Linked DNA regions of Oryctolagus cuniculus. The protein of the gene in region 2 interacts with the protein of the main gene of each other region in a pairwise test. Links are inferred from orthologs where the notes say so. Each region holds a gene or a part of one and is shown on either strand. Other genes may lie near its edges.

Region 1 (6,327 bases), about 38 Mb from region 2:
ATGGGAGACCAGGATGGAGTCCCAGGCTCCTAGCTTTGGCCTGGCCCAGCCCCACTGTTGCAATCATTTGGGGGGTGATCCAGCATAGCAAAGATTCTCTAACTCTACCTTTCAAACAAACAAATCTTTTTTTTAAAATAATCACTCTGGGGGCTAGCACTGTGGCACAGTAGGCTAAGCCGCTGCCTGCAGTGCCAGCATCCCTTTTGGGCGCCGGTTTGAGTCCTGGCTGCTCCACTTCTGATCCAGCTCTCTGCTATGGCCTGGGAAAGCAGTGGAAGATGGCCCAAGTGCTTGGGCCCCTGCACCCGTGTGGGAGACCTGGAAGAAGCTCCTGGCTCCGGATCGGCGCAGCTCCGGCCGTTGCAGTCATCTGGGGAGTGAACCAGCAGATGGAAGACCCCTCTCTCTGTTTGTAACTCTACCTCTCAAATAAATCTTAAAAATAAATAAAAAACCACTCTGCCTCAGAAGACCAGGAAGGCGAGCACACCTACTGTGTTCATCACTGCAACCCTAGCACCCAGCACGGTGCCTGCACAGTCGGCACTCCGTGGACATCTGTGGGATGACCAGTGGCTGTGCAAGCAGCCGGAGGCCACTACAGCAGCCCAGCACCTGGAGGCCGGCGTTCTGGGTTGAGATGTTTCTGTAAGTCGATTTGCTAGGACTTAGAGGGGCTTGACTGGAGGAGGGGATGAGTGAAGCGGTCGGGCATGAATCCCTTGCACCTGGGAGGGGTAGCTGAATGAGTCACCTGAGACGGGAGAAGGGTTGAAGGAGAGGCTTCCCAGCTGCCCATCAGATTCCATCCCAATTCCCACTACACGCGGCGGAGCGCCGGGGTGAGGGCGGAAACGCCTCACCACGATCCATGCTTGGCATCAGGCACAGGCCCCGTTCCTGGGGTTGGAGGAAGCACGAGGCTGAGTCCGGAGGGCCTGACACTGTCTTTACTGCGCAAACCCGTTGGATTTACACGAGTCCCCGCTTCCTAAGACCACGCTCAAGCTCCAGGCCCAACCTGAGTGTGAAACGCTCGCGAAGGGACGGGCGGAATTCCTAAGTTTCTTTCAGCCTGGAACAGCCTTTCCTCAACAGCGGGTCTGTCCAGTTCCTCTAGACCCAGCTGCCCCCGACCCGAGGTCACGACCTACCTGCCCACCCGTAGCGGTGGTGCGCTGCGGCCCAGGCTGATGTTGACAGGCAGCTCCTCTCGGCGGTGGGCAGCAGTCAGTGCCTGGCCGGCTCGCCTCTCCTCAGCCGCTGCCACGGCTACAAAACCTGTTTATCCACAACGTCACTTCCGGACACCGGAAGCACTCACACCCGTTCATCCTACAGGGCCTGCTGGGAAACAGAGGCCCGAAGGGAAGGATGACTGCCTACAAGATCCAGAGGCCTTTGCGCCTGCAGGGCTACCGGAAGTGGCTATGCTCTTGCCCGGAAGATCCTCCGGGAATTTCCGCCTCCCCTCCCTGTTAGAGTGCTGTGCATGCCGGGCTTTGTAGTCTCAGGCTTATGGCCCGCTGCTCCGGGAGGAGTCGACCGGCGCAGGATGTGAGCTCACAGCTCGGGATTGCTGGCGGGCAGGCAGCCACAGGTCAGAGACGGCACGGAGTTCGCTCGCCCCCCAGCTGAGAGGAGAGGAGCCCCCGGCGACGGTGAGAGTCGGGCCTCGGCTGGAGCAAAGACTGCCCGCCGGGTCCTGGGAAGCAGGGGTGGGACGGCGCAGCGGAGATGCAGAGCTGGTCTCGGTTCCTTGGTAGTGAGGGGGGCGGGCTGGGCAAGAGCCTACGCTGGCCACGGGAGAGGCTGGCCGTGGCCGAATTTCTCCAGGACCTTGCAGCCTAAGCCTCACACCTAGGATTTCTGCTGGGTCCACCCTCTATAGCCAAGATCAGCTCACGGCTTCCCCAACACCCACCCGCCCCCGGCCCCCCGTGCGTGACGGGTTTCTAGATCCTTCTTCCTTTGGGATCCAACCGCGGTCCACCGCTTTGGTTGTCTGCCTTTTGTTCGCAGAGTGGGAAATGGATCCGCCCCTAGCCCCAGGCATCCCCAAATACCCACAAAGTCCGGAAGGAAGAGTATTGAGTGGAAACTTCATTGTCGCTGGAATTACTTTCTGGGGCGGCACCTGCCGCAGGATTCCTGGAACTCATTGGTCTGAATGGAATCTGAGCTGACGTCAGCCAGGAACAGTTGCTTTGCAGGAAAGGAATAGATTAGCTGTGGATTTGTCTTCCTCTCCTGGCAAACCGCAGGCTTTCAGTACCTTTGCTTTGGGAGAAAATGCATGTGTTTTCTTTGACCTTGTTAAAAACTTTTCCTGGGTGGACTGATTGGTTTGGAGTCGGTGGGAGGTTAGGTCATCCGCTGTCCCAGTGGAGGTCTCGGCAGACTCCTGTTGAGGGCTTTTCTCATCCACACCGCATGCCTGCACAGTTCATCACTTCACAGGACACCCACTCTGGCCCTTTTGGGACATTCTTCCCAGGGACCTGCCTAAATCTTTTCAGGGACAATTTCAATCTGACGAACTGCCATGGACTTCAAAAGGTTCGTGGGAAGTCAAATTAAGAAAAATTTATTTTGGTGGAGAAAACATCTTGAAATCCATGTATAAAAGTGCAGGCCAGTGTGCAGAAAGACCGCGTGCGGAGTGGAGCGGCACAACTGGGGACACCAGTGCCATTTGTGGGCTGCACTTGGCGAGGCACACCGTCAGCTCCCGCGTGTGAGCATGGAGGGAGAGGATTCTGCCTTTTCTCTGCCTCTGTTCCCCCTGTGCTCCAAGTCTTCACCACTTTATGCCTGCACTACTGCTTCCTCTGGTCCTCCCACGGCCTCTGCACCCTTACAATCCATTCTCTACACCGCACCCAGAAGTATGGTTGCGATTATCTCACTCACCTGCTTAGAACCCTCCAGTGGATTCCTGCACTGCACTGCACTTGAAATAAAGCCCCAGCTCTTGGGCACCAGCTAGTACCCGCCTGCCTGCCTGCCACGGAACCAGAGTCAGTGCCAACTCCTATTTTCCTTTTTAAGTTCGTTAACATGAGGATGCTTAATTGAACTCCTTGAAAGCAAAGACTGTATTTTTCATTGTTCCCTACTGTTTCACAGGGTTGGCAGTCAGTAGTTTCACTGCTAAATGAATTAAATAATATACATTAAATGCCTAGAATAGTGCGTGGCACATGAAAACGCGCCTTAAGAGTCAGCTATGACATTCTCTTTAGATGAATTTTAGCGCTTCTCTAGGAAGCCAGAAGCATAATGTGGACTTGCAGTCGCGAGGGTGACTGGGTGGCTCCCTCCGCTCCTCCCGCCTGAGAGCTCCTGTTAGTGCTTTAATTTATACATCATGGCTGGCACCGCAGCTCACTAGGCTAATCCTCCACCTAGCGGCGCCGGCATACCGGGTTCTAGTCCCGGTCGGGGTGCCGGATTCTTTCCCGGTTGCCCCTCTTCCAGGCCAGCTCTCTGCTGTGGCCCGGGAGGGCAGTGGAGGATGGCCCAGGTGCTTGGGCCCTGCACCCCATGGGAGACCAGGAGAAGCACCTGGCTCCTGCCTTTGGATCAGCGCGGTGCACCGGCCGCAGCGCACCAGCCGTGGCGGCCATTGGAGGGTGAACCAACAGCAAAGGAAGACCTTTCTCTTTGTCTCTCTCACTATCCACTCTGTCAAAAAAAAAAAAAAAAAAAGAATTTATACATCATTTAATTGCTTTCAGATCTGTCATCTGATGTTCTGGTTCTGCCTCCTCATTCTTGGTGGAAAGCTTGAGAGGACGAGATAGGGCTGGGCTCCCACTTAGGAAAAAGAAGTGAAAATAGACGTCCTGTATTTGTTCTGCCCTGGCCAGTGGTGACAATTTCAGGAACTTGGAGCATTGCCAAGAAAAGGGACGGTCAGGAAATCCAAGTGGAACCTAGGTGACACTGCCGAAGACCCTGGCTAGGTCCCCCAGTCTGACTCACTCCATTGTCTCCTGAAGCTGCTTTTACTTTCCTTTCAAAACTCCAGGTGACGCTAAAGCAAGCACGGGCCCAGGACGCTCCTGCACCTGGTATCTCTAGAAAGGAAGTCCACCCTGTCCCTGTGGCTCCTGGGAAAGTCCTAGTTTGGCTGATGCCCAGCAGGTTTGGCTGGAAGTCTGGGTTCCTAGTTACCCTAAGAGAATAAATGGAATTCTGACTGGTAGATGCCCAGCAGGGGCTGTTCCTCAGGCCTAGGGCTGGCTTGTCTTCTTGCCACCTGAGGTGAGCTGATTCCAGGGAGCCTGGCAGGATGAGGCGGGCAGGGCTCTGGGAGCCTGTGCTTGTCTCTGGGGCGGTGAACAGCAGCAGGAAAGTCCAAATGTCGCCTCAGCAGCTGGGCTTGTTCCGGAGACGATGAGTGTGGCCAGGGCCCCTGCGGTTGCCCCTCCTGGTCCAAGGCCTCTATTCTGACTTCCATCTTCTCTCCCACTCACAGGGCTGAGCATGAGGTTCTGGCCTCCACGGGCCACTCACCTGTGACCACTTCCACCACGGCGGAGCCTTCCAAGCCTACCTCCTGCCGTGTGGTGATCTACCTGCAGCGGGAGATGTCGGGGGATACCTGTCTGTGCCCAGCCTCGGGGGCCAAGCCCAAGTTAAGCGGCTTCAAAGGAGGCGGGCTGGGCAACAAGTACGTGCAGCTCAATGTGGGTGGCTCCCTGTACTACACCACGGTGCGGGCTCTCACCCGGCACGACACCATGCTCAAGGCCATGTTCAGTGGGCGCATGGAGGTGCTGACGGACAAAGAAGGTGAGGCCCAAGGGCAGGGAGGGTGGGGAGGGGAGGACGGTTCTAGGGAAACAGCTCCGGGGTAGGGCTAGATCCCGAAGCCCGGCAGGTCCAGAACTACACTGCTTTCCTCTTCACCTGCAGTGCTCAGCAGAGCTTCCGAATTCTTTGAAATCATTACCTCTCATACTGGATAGTCACGGTTCCCACAGACAAGATCCGTACTTTTAAAATATTTAACTAGGACTAGATTTTCACGAGCCATCGCCAGTCTTGGGCTGTGGGCAGAAGGCAAGCAAGGAGCAATGGCTTCTGTGTTGCCAGTAGAGGCCCGAGGGCTCCCAAGAGCCTGCAGGCGTCTGTGCTGGCCCCCGTGCCAGTTCTTGGGTCCAGTGAGGGAGGGTGAAGAGCACTGTGGACCTGAGCACCCTGAGCTGCGGGCCGCTAGCTCGTCAGGCAGCCTTTGCCGGCTTCTGGGGTTCCGAGAGGTAGGAAGTAATCCTGTGGGGCCCATCTGAATCCCTAGGCTGGATCCTCATAGATCGATGTGGAAAGCACTTTGGCACCATTTTGAATTACCTCCGAGATGACACCATCACCCTCCCTCAAAACCGGCAAGAAATCAAGGAATTGATGGCTGAAGCAAAATATTACCTCATCCAGGGGCTGGTGAACATGTGCCAGACCGCCCTGCAGGTACGTGGCAGGGCTGGAGGCAGCTGCTGAGCCAGGCACTGCCCCTCCTTCAGGGATCTCAGGGTCCAGCTCCTGGGTGGAGGTAGCAGAGGAGGCACTGCCCAGGCCCAGCGACCTGGCGCCCAGCGCCTCACCTTAGCAGTACAGAGAGGCCTCGTTTGTTGATGTGCCCAGCCACCTGGGTTTTAGGCCTTCCAGAAAGGGGGTCTGCTTACTGCCCAGCAGTTCCTGTCTCCAGGGCCCTCATGATCTCAGTCAGATGCCTCCTCGCCCAGCCAAGGATGCCATGGCAGAGGGGCTCCAGGGTTACTTGGCTCAGACTGGCAAGCATAAATCCCAAGAGTTCTGTGCTCTGTATGCCACTCACGCAGGACAAGAAGGACTCCTACCAGCCTGTGTGTAACATTCCCATCATCACCTCCCTGAAGGAGGAGGAGCGGCTCATCGAGTCCTCCACCAAGGTACTGGGGCCCCCGGAGGGCTACGGGCAGGGACCCCAGGCCCCCGGCCAGGCCTGACTCCCTGCTCCCTCACAGCCCGTGGTGAAGCTGCTGTACAACAGAAGCAACAACAAATACTCCTACACCAGGTAGGCTGGCCGTCCCTGGGGCAGCGCTGCGGGAGCCGCTAAGAGGGCCAGGGGATGGCACTGACGGTGTGGCTCTGGGCCTCAGAACTGGTTCAAGTAAGGGGGGCAAGAATAGGGAGCGGAAGGGAAACTGGGACAGGGCCTGCTGGGCTGTGGGCAGTGGAACGTGAGCGCCACTGCAGCACGTCGTGCCCCACAGCGCGCCAGGCTGTCGGACGGAGCGGGAGGGGCCCCTAGGCCGCCCGCAGCCTCTCAGCCTC
Region 2 (8,268 bases):
TCCAAGGCTGTCCAGACTCTCCAGGGGCCTGGAGGATGGCCTCTGCAGACAGACCCAGGGCCCTTCCCCGCAGCCGGATTGAGGGGGTGGCTCTCCTGACTTTTCCAAGGGGACCAGGGGACCTAGGACCAGCAAGCTGGGGCCGAGCCCTGCTCAGGACTGTCCCAGACGTTCAGTTCAGCTGGCTGCCTTGCTGCTCCTACAACTCGACACACTGGACTTTCACCTCCAACCGGGATACCACGGACATCATCCCTCTTTGTGCTTCTTGGGCTTCTGGACAATTCGGAAGAGTTCACCCTGCTCCCGGGGCCCGCCCTACTCCCTCTTCCCAAGGGACCCAGGAGTCAGTCCCTTAGGAAGGCCAACACTGAGGGTGGGGCTGCCCCAGCCAGGGTTGCTGGAGCCCGTGAGAGGTGCTGAGTCGGCCCCAGGTGCAGGATGGGGACAGTTCACAGGTCCAGTGAGTGCCTTGCCTGGCCCTGTGCAGAGAGCAGGAGGGGAGCCCCTGGCTGGGGTCCCGGGAGTGAGGGGCTCCCCAAGAGTCTTAGAGTCTCAGCAGGACCTGACTCGGGGCCCCCCACCCTCAGTGGGGAAGAAGACTCTGGGGTGGAGAAGCCGGACACTGTCCAGGGGAGGGGAAGTCTTGCTGGGCAGCTTGAGGACCACTGTGAAGACAGGGCTGCTTCTCCAACAGACTCCCGCCCCCTCCGCCCCTCCGCCCCTCCGCCCCTGCTGTGTCAGAGGGGTGAACCCCAGGCTGAGCAGCTGGCTGGGCCAGCTGCCTGGCCACCCCTGCTCCCTGCACTGTGCCCTGGAGGGCAGAGCCCTCCCCGCCACAAACACGTTGCTGGCGCCCTTCCCTGAGGTCGCCACCCCCCTGAGCGCCGGCTGCCGTCAGCCCAGGCTTGTCCCAGCAGGGAGCCGGGGGAATGGGAAAACACAGTGTGTTTGAATTGCACACACGACCATTCCCTGCAGCCAGTCATCAACTCCGAGCTAATACAGCTGGAAGGCAGGCCTGGCGTGAGAGCCCCCTCCTCTTTCTCCCAACCTGGCAGGGGCTGCCCGGGCTCAGGCCCTTGTTTGTTGACTCAGGCTCAACCAGGCTCCAGCAAGAAAATGTTATCAGGAGGATTGATTTTATTTTCATGACCCAGCCTCAGCCTGCCTCCATCACGTGTGCTCTAGCGTGAATAAGCATCCTTGGGAATGGTCCGCGAGCCAACTCCAGGACTCTGCCATGAGTGCCCCCTAATGGCCAAAGGAGGCAGTGCAGAGGCAAAGCCAAAGACGGCTGGGATAGAGGTGGGATTTCACTTTTGTGCCAAGATACGCTGTGTGACTTCAGGCAAACGGTCACCATCTCTGGGCCTTGGAAAGGGAAGGAGTTAACCTGGAGAGTTAAGCCTCTTCCAGTCTGGAGAGTCTGGATTTGAGTGTATTGAAGCCACACCTTCGGGCTCCCCGTTCATTCCTGTGCTTGGCCACAGGCATAGCTTGTGCTCTCAACAAGACCGCTTGGACACATCTCCCCAGGGTCTCTGCACCTGGACTGGTGGGAAGGGAGCGAGCAGGGGCGGCAGGCAGGTGCATTTGGTGCTGGTGTGCACCAGGCTTTGATGAGGTGTGCAGCCCTGTGCCACTTCCACAAAACAGGGGAGTGAGCACTCAGCACAGAAAGCGAGACGCTCGCCTGCCCCCAGGAAGGATTGGCAATAACCCCCAGGCAGAACCCCTCCCACACACACTTACGAAGCACCACCGTGCGCCAGGCACTGGGCAGAGAGGGGCAGCAAGTTCTGCACAAAACCAAGGATTGGGAGTTCTCCAAGCAGGCCCTGAGGCCTTAGGAAGGGATAAGACCAGACACTGGGGGAGGCTGGGTTGCCCATCGGGCACCAAAACCTGCGGGTGTTTTCCTGGGAAAGCAGTTCCTGGCCAGAGAAGGGAGGAGCTCACCTCCGTGTGCCCTCAAGCCCCAGGCTCCTGGTCCCCAGGCCTTCGCTGCTCTGTCCAGCAACAGGCGGGAAGTCCCCTGGCTAAGACACACTTTCCCAGGCCATCCAGGATCCCCACAGAGTCAAAGGACAAAGGGCAGCTATGGTACCCAAGCACCAAGGCCAAGGTCAGAATGGCGCTGTGGCACAACTGGTTAAATCCACGGCCTATAGTGTCGGCATCCCATGTGGGTGCCGGTTCGTGTCCCAGCTCCTCCACTTCCAACCCAGCTCCCTGCTAATGTGCCTGGGAAAGCAGAGGAAGATGGCCCAAGTCCCTAGGCCCCTGCACCCACACGGGAGACCCAGAAGAAACTCCTGGCTCCTGGCTTCGGATCGGCACAGCTCCGGCCGTTGCGGCCATCTGGGGAGTGAACCAGCAGATGGAAGACCTCTCTCTCTCTCTGTCTCTACCTCTCTCTCTAACTCTGTCTTTCAAATAAATAAAATAAACCTTTAAAGAAGAAGAAGGTGTGCATAGGGCAGGGCTGCAGCCTGCGTCCACCGCAGCTGTACTTGGCCCAGGGATGCAGCCACATTCCTTGGCCCCAGGAGCTCACAGCTCCAAGCACCATGGGGATGTGGCAAGGCCTCCTTTCCTGGTGCTGTTCTCTCCTGAGAAGCTCCGAGGAGTCAGACCAAAGGGCTTCAGGATCCCGGGCCCAACAACGCAGAAAGCTGCAGCGGTCCACAGGGGCGAGCTGAGGCTCCTTCCAGGGCCCTCCGGTGCTGCCCGGGACAACCCAGCTGTCAGAGGCTTAGGGCAGGACCCCAGTCCTCGGGACTTCGGGTCAGAGGTGGAGGGCCCCAATGGGGTCAGAGCGGAGTCGGCCGGACTTGAAATCCTGAAGGGTCGCAGGGAGCCGACGCTGAGGCTCCAGGGGGACGTCTAGGGGAGAAGGCTGGGCTGCGACCGCCAGCGGGTGTGGGGAGTGTGCGTCTGCCTCGACAGCCCCCTATGTGGGCACCCCCAGATTCTGCGGCACTCCTGGGTCGCCCCGGCTCCTCGCCGCATACCCGACCGCGCACCTGTCTGCCGCGCGCGTCCCCGCGGGCCCGGAGCTCATTGCGCACGCGAGCCGAAGAGCTCCGTGACGGCCCCGCCCCTTCTCGCCTCGCCCCGCCCCGTCTCTCCCCGCCCCGCCCCTTCCGCCCTCCGGGGGCGGGACTAGCGCGGCTTCCGGCCGGGACTCTGACAGGATCCTGAGGGTCCCGCCTCCCACTTGCCGTTTCGAGCTGCGGATTCTCGCAGGACCTGAGCCCCCCGGCCGCTGCGGTGAGGGTCTCACGCGGCTGTCCAGGCTGCCTTCTGCCCTTGTCCCACCGGGCCCAGGAGCGCTCGGCCGCCCCGCCATGGCCCAGAAGCCCAAGGTGGACCCCCACGTCGGGCGGCTGGGATACCTGCAGGCGCTCGTCACGGAATTCCAGGAGACCGCGAGCAAAGGTGAGAGCCGCGGGTGGGCGCCGCCGCGAGCCGAGGGGAGAGCCGAGGGGAGGGCGCGGGTGGGCGCCGCGAGCCGAGGGGAGAGCCGCGGGTGGGCGCCGAGGGGAGAGCCGCGGGTGGGCGCCGCCGCGAGCCGAGGGGAGAGCCGAGGGGAGGCCGCGGGTGGGCGCCGCCGCGAGCCGAGGGGAGAGCTGAGGGGAGGGCCGCGAGCCGAGGGGAGGGCCGCGGGTGGGCGCCGAGGGGAGAGCCGAGGGGAGGCCGCGGGTGGGCGCCGAGAGCCGAGGGGAGGGCCGCGGGTGGGCGCCGAGAGCCGAGGGGAGGCCGCGGGTGGGCCGGCGCGAGCCGAGGGGAGGGTCGCGGGTGGGCGCCGGCGCGGGGGCCGAGGGGAGGGCCGCGGGTGGGCGCCGCGAGCCGAGGGGAGGCCGCGGGTGGGCCGGCGCGGGGCCGCCGCCCGGGACCGGCTCCAGGGTCGCTTTCCCGTTGCAGACGCCAAGGAGCAGGTCCTCGCCAACCTGGCCAACTTCGCCTATGACCCCAGCAACTTCCAGTACCTGCGGCAGCTTCAGGTCCCGGATTTGTTCCTGGACTCGCTGTCGGAGGAGAACGAGACCCTGGTGGAGTTCGCTATGGGTAAGGGGGGCCGGACCCGACACCTGCGGGGCTGCCGCGCGATGGGAGGGTTGCAAGGGAGTCGTCGGCAAAGCGGCCTTTAGGGGCCCCCCTTGTCGCCCCACAGGCCATCAGGTCACAGCTAATGTGCGGGAGTGCGGGGGTCCCACCCAGGCCCCACCCTCTGCCTAGAGATGGGATCGCAGACAGGGAATGGGAGGGAGCAGCTTGGAGGTGGATCTTTAATGCGACGATAATGTAGACTTTAAAGTCTTTGTCGTTTACTGAAAGGCAGAGAGAGAGAGATTGAGAGATTGCACCCACTGGTTCGCTCTGCAAATGGCCACAACTTCTCCCAGGTCTAGGCCAGGCCAGGCCAGGGCCAGGATCCGGGACCTTCATCCCTCAGGTCCCCACAGGGGCAACAAGGGCCCAGCACTGCCTTCCCGGCTGGATCAGAAGCAGAGCAGCTGGGACTTGAGGCAGGACTCCCGCCAGTTGGCCCACTGCGCCCTCATCCCTGTCCTCGTGCAGAAATGTTTGAAGTCCATACATAGGTTTTTTTGTGAGACTTTTTCATGAACTTGTAATTAATTAATTAATTTGAGAGGCAGAGAGACAGACAGAGCTTCCATCTGCTGTTTTACTCCTCAAATGACAGAAATAGTCAGGGCTGGTCCAGGCCAAAGCTGGGGGCCAGGAATTCTATCCAGGTCCCCCCCCATGAGTGTCACGGATCCGACTACTTGAACCCCTCATACAGTGCCTGCCCAGTGAATACAAGGATATTTCAGCAAGTTAATGGGAAGTGGAGTTAAAATATAAGGGTGTTTTTGGTGCAATTAAAAAAATTAAATTTTTTTCATAATGCACATATTCTATGAATTTTTAAAAATATTTCCCCCCACTCTACTGTACTCTTCTCTTCCTTCCTTCTTTCCTTTTTTTCTTTTCTTTTTTTTTAAGATTTATTTTATTTATTTGAAAGAGTTAGAGAGGTCTTCCATCCGCTGGCTCACTCCCCAAATGACCGCAGCAGCCAGAGCTGAGCTGATCCAAAGCCAGGAGTTTCTTCCAGGTCTCCCACATGGGTGCAGGGGCCCAAGGACCTGGGCCATCTTCTATTGCTTTCCCAGGCCACAGCAAGGAGTTGGATCAGAAGTGAAGCAGCCAGGACTTGAACTGGCGCCCATATGGGGTGCTGGAGCTGCAGGCCAGGGCTTTAACCTGCTGCACCACAGCGCCAGCCCCTTTTTTAAAAAAAAAAAAAATTTACTTATTTGGGGGACCAGTGCTGTGGCACAGTGGGTTAAAGCCCTGGCCTGAAGCGCCAGCATCCCATATGGGTGTTGATTCTAGTCCTGGCTGTTCCACTTCCAATCCAGCTCTCTGCTATGGCCTGGGAAAGCAGTAGAAAACGGCCCCCCTGCACCCACGTGGGAAACCCAGAAGAAGCTCCTGGCTTCAGATCGGTGCAGCTCCAGCCATTGCGGCCATCTGGGGAGTGAACCAGCAGACGGAAGACCTCTCTCTCTGTCTCTACCTCTCTGTGTAACTCTGTCTTTCAAATAAATAAAATAAATCTTAAAAAATAAGTTTATTTATTTGAGGCCAGCACTGTGGTGTAGTATGCTAAGTCTCTGCCTGCAGCGTCAGCATCTCTTACGGGCACCGGTTTGAGTCCTGGCTGCTCCTCTTCTGACCCAGCTCCCTGCTAATGCTCCTGGAAAGAAAGCAGCAGAGGAGCGCCCAAGTGCTTGGGCCCCTGCACCCATGTGGGAGACCCAGAAGAAGTTCCTGGCTCCTGGCTCCTGATTGGCCCAATTCCAGCTATTGCGGCCATTTGGGGAGTGAACCAGCAGATGGAAGATATCGCTCTCTCTCTCTCTCTCTCTCTGTAACTCTGCCCTTCAAATAAATAAATAAATAATCTTAAAAAATATTTATTTATTTATTTGAATGGCAGAGTTATATAGAGAGGGAACAAAAGAGACAGAAAACAAGCTAGATATTCCATTGGCTGATTCACTCCTCGGATGCTGCGATAGCTGGAGCTGGGCTGATCTGAAGGCCAGGAATTTCTTCTGGGTCTCTCACATGGATGCAGGGGCCCAAGCACTTGGGCCGTCCCCTGCTGTTTTTCCAGGAGCATTAGCAGGGAGCTGGGTCAGAAGTGGAGCCGCTGGGATATGAACCTACGCCATTGTGCTGGGCCTTACAAAAATTCATATATTTATATATTTTTCATAATATACATATTCCATACATTTTTTGAGGATCCCCCTCACTTTTTAAAAGATATTTATTTATTTGAAAGGCAGAGTTGGCCGGCGCCGCGGCTCACTAGGCTAATCCTCCGCCTAGCGGCGCCGGCACACCGGGTTCTAGTCCCGGTTGGGGCGCCGGATTCTGTCCCGGTTGCCCCTCTTCCAGGCCAGCCCTCTGCTGTGGCCAGGGAGTGCAGTGGAGGATGGCCCAGGTGCTTGGGCCCTGCACCCCATGGGAGACCAGGAAAAGCACCTGGCTCCTGGCTCCTGCCATCGGATCAGCGCGGTGCGCCGGCCGCTGCGCGCCAGCCGCGGCGGCCATTGGAGGGTGAATCAACGGCAAAAGGAAGACCTTTCTCTCTGTCTCTCTCTCTCTCTCACTGTCCACTCTGCCTGTCAAAAAATAAAAAAAATAAAATAAAATAAAATAAAAAAAATGAAAGGCAGAGTTACAGAGAGAGAGGGAGAGATACAGAGATCTTCCATCCATTGGTTCACTCCCCAAATGGCCACAACAGCCGGGGCTGGGCCAGGCCGAAGCCGGGAACCAGGAGCTTCATCAGAGTCTCCCACATGGGGACAGGGGCCCAGGAACTTGGGTCATCTTCAGCTGTTTCCCTAGGCACATTAGCAGGGAGCGTGATCAGAAATGGAGCAGTAGGGACTTGAACGCACACCCATGTGGGATGCCGACATGGCAGGGTGCTGCTACACCACAACACCGGCTCCGCCCCCTCACTCTTTAAGCCAGGTTCTGTTCTGAATGTTGGGGAGATGTTGAGCAACGGGTTCTGCCTACAGGAGCTTACATTCTAGAAGGGGAGACGTGGGGAGCACATTAAAATGATGCTGCTCGGGGGGAAGTCAACAGGAGGGGGACAACTTCCGTGTTGGCCATGATGGGCAGGCACACTCGGCAGAGGTGCAGAAGCCGTGAAGGAGCAGAGGGAAAGCAGGCGCGGCAGGACGGCGGGGAGAGACCTGGAAAATGGCGCCAAACGAGGCTGCTGGCAGCGGAGCTGGCCAGGGCTTACATCTGACCGTGGGGATGAGTTTGGCATTTATTATGAGAGCAAACACAAATTATTTTTTCAGCATGCAGTTTTTAAGATTTATTTATTTGAAAGTCAGAGTTACACAGGGAGAGAGGAGAGGCAGAGAGAGAGAGGTCTTCCATCCACTGGTTCACTCCCCAGATGGCCACAATGGCTGGAGCTGTGCCGATCTGAAGCCAGGAGCCAGGAGCTGCTTCTGGGTCTCCCACGTGGGTGTAGAGGCCCAAGGCCTTGGGCCATCTTCTACTGCTTTCCCAGACCATAGTGGAGAGCTGGATCAGAAGTGGAGCAGCCAGGACTTGAACCGGTACCCATTTGGTATGCTGGCACTTCAGGCAGTGGCGTTACCAGCTATGCCACAATACCAGCCCTAAATATTTATTTTATGTATTTGAAAGGTGGTTACAGAGAGACAGAGTCAAAGAGAGAGAATCTTCCATCCACTGGTTCACTCCCCAAATGCCCACAATGGTCGGAGCTGAACTGATCTGAAGCCAGGAGCCAGGAGCTTCTTCCGAGTCTCCCATGTGGGTGCAAAGGGCCAAGGATTTGTACCATCCCCTGCTGCTTTCCTAGGTGCATTAGCAGGGAGCTGGATGGGAAGTGGAGCAGCCAGGACTCAACTGGAACCCATATGGGATGCTGGCACTGAAGGTGGCGGCTCACACCCTGGTATGGGTGCCTGTTTCGAATCCCGGCTACTCCGCCTCCAAGGGCACCTCTCAGGCGCCCTGAGATCTTGGCTCACTGAGCCCTCAGCCCTAGGGGAGGTTTGGGCCTGCTAAAAACAGGATTCAGGGACCAATGCTGTTAAGCTGCCACTTGGAAGTGATGCTGCATCTCATATGAGTGCCAGTTCAAGTCCCGGCTCCTGTTTCTGATCCAGCTTCCTG

The links. The genes of interacting proteins can lie anywhere in the genome.
Region 1: the proteins of ARMC7 (region 2) and TNFAIP1 interact in binary tests that used the Homo sapiens proteins (3 or more experiments, as listed by UniProt). The link is inferred for Oryctolagus cuniculus from reciprocal best matches to the Homo sapiens genes ARMC7 and TNFAIP1.

Annotation. Positions count from the first base shown.
Region 1 is NC_091448.1:43,886,409-43,892,735, forward strand, and holds the start of TNFAIP1 (BTB/POZ domain-containing adapter for CUL3-mediated RhoA degradation protein 2), read left to right. Parts: upstream 1-1,462; 5' UTR 1,463-1,664; intron 1,665-4,486; 5' UTR 4,487-4,598; coding exon 4,599-4,803; intron 4,804-5,308; coding exon 5,309-5,478; intron 5,479-5,849; coding exon 5,850-5,939; intron 5,940-6,014; coding exon 6,015-6,067; intron 6,068-6,327. UniProt on the Homo sapiens protein: Substrate-specific adapter of a BCR (BTB-CUL3-RBX1) E3 ubiquitin-protein ligase complex involved in regulation of cytoskeleton structure.
Region 2 is NC_091448.1:5,402,620-5,410,887, reverse strand, and holds the start of ARMC7 (armadillo repeat-containing protein 7), read left to right. Parts: upstream 1-3,157; 5' UTR 3,158-3,353; coding exon 3,354-3,444; intron 3,445-3,930; coding exon 3,931-4,074; intron 4,075-5,438; coding exon of another isoform or gene 5,439-5,467; exon of another isoform or gene 5,468-6,755; intron 6,756-8,268. UniProt on the Homo sapiens protein: As a component of the minor spliceosome, involved in the splicing of U12-type introns in pre-mRNAs.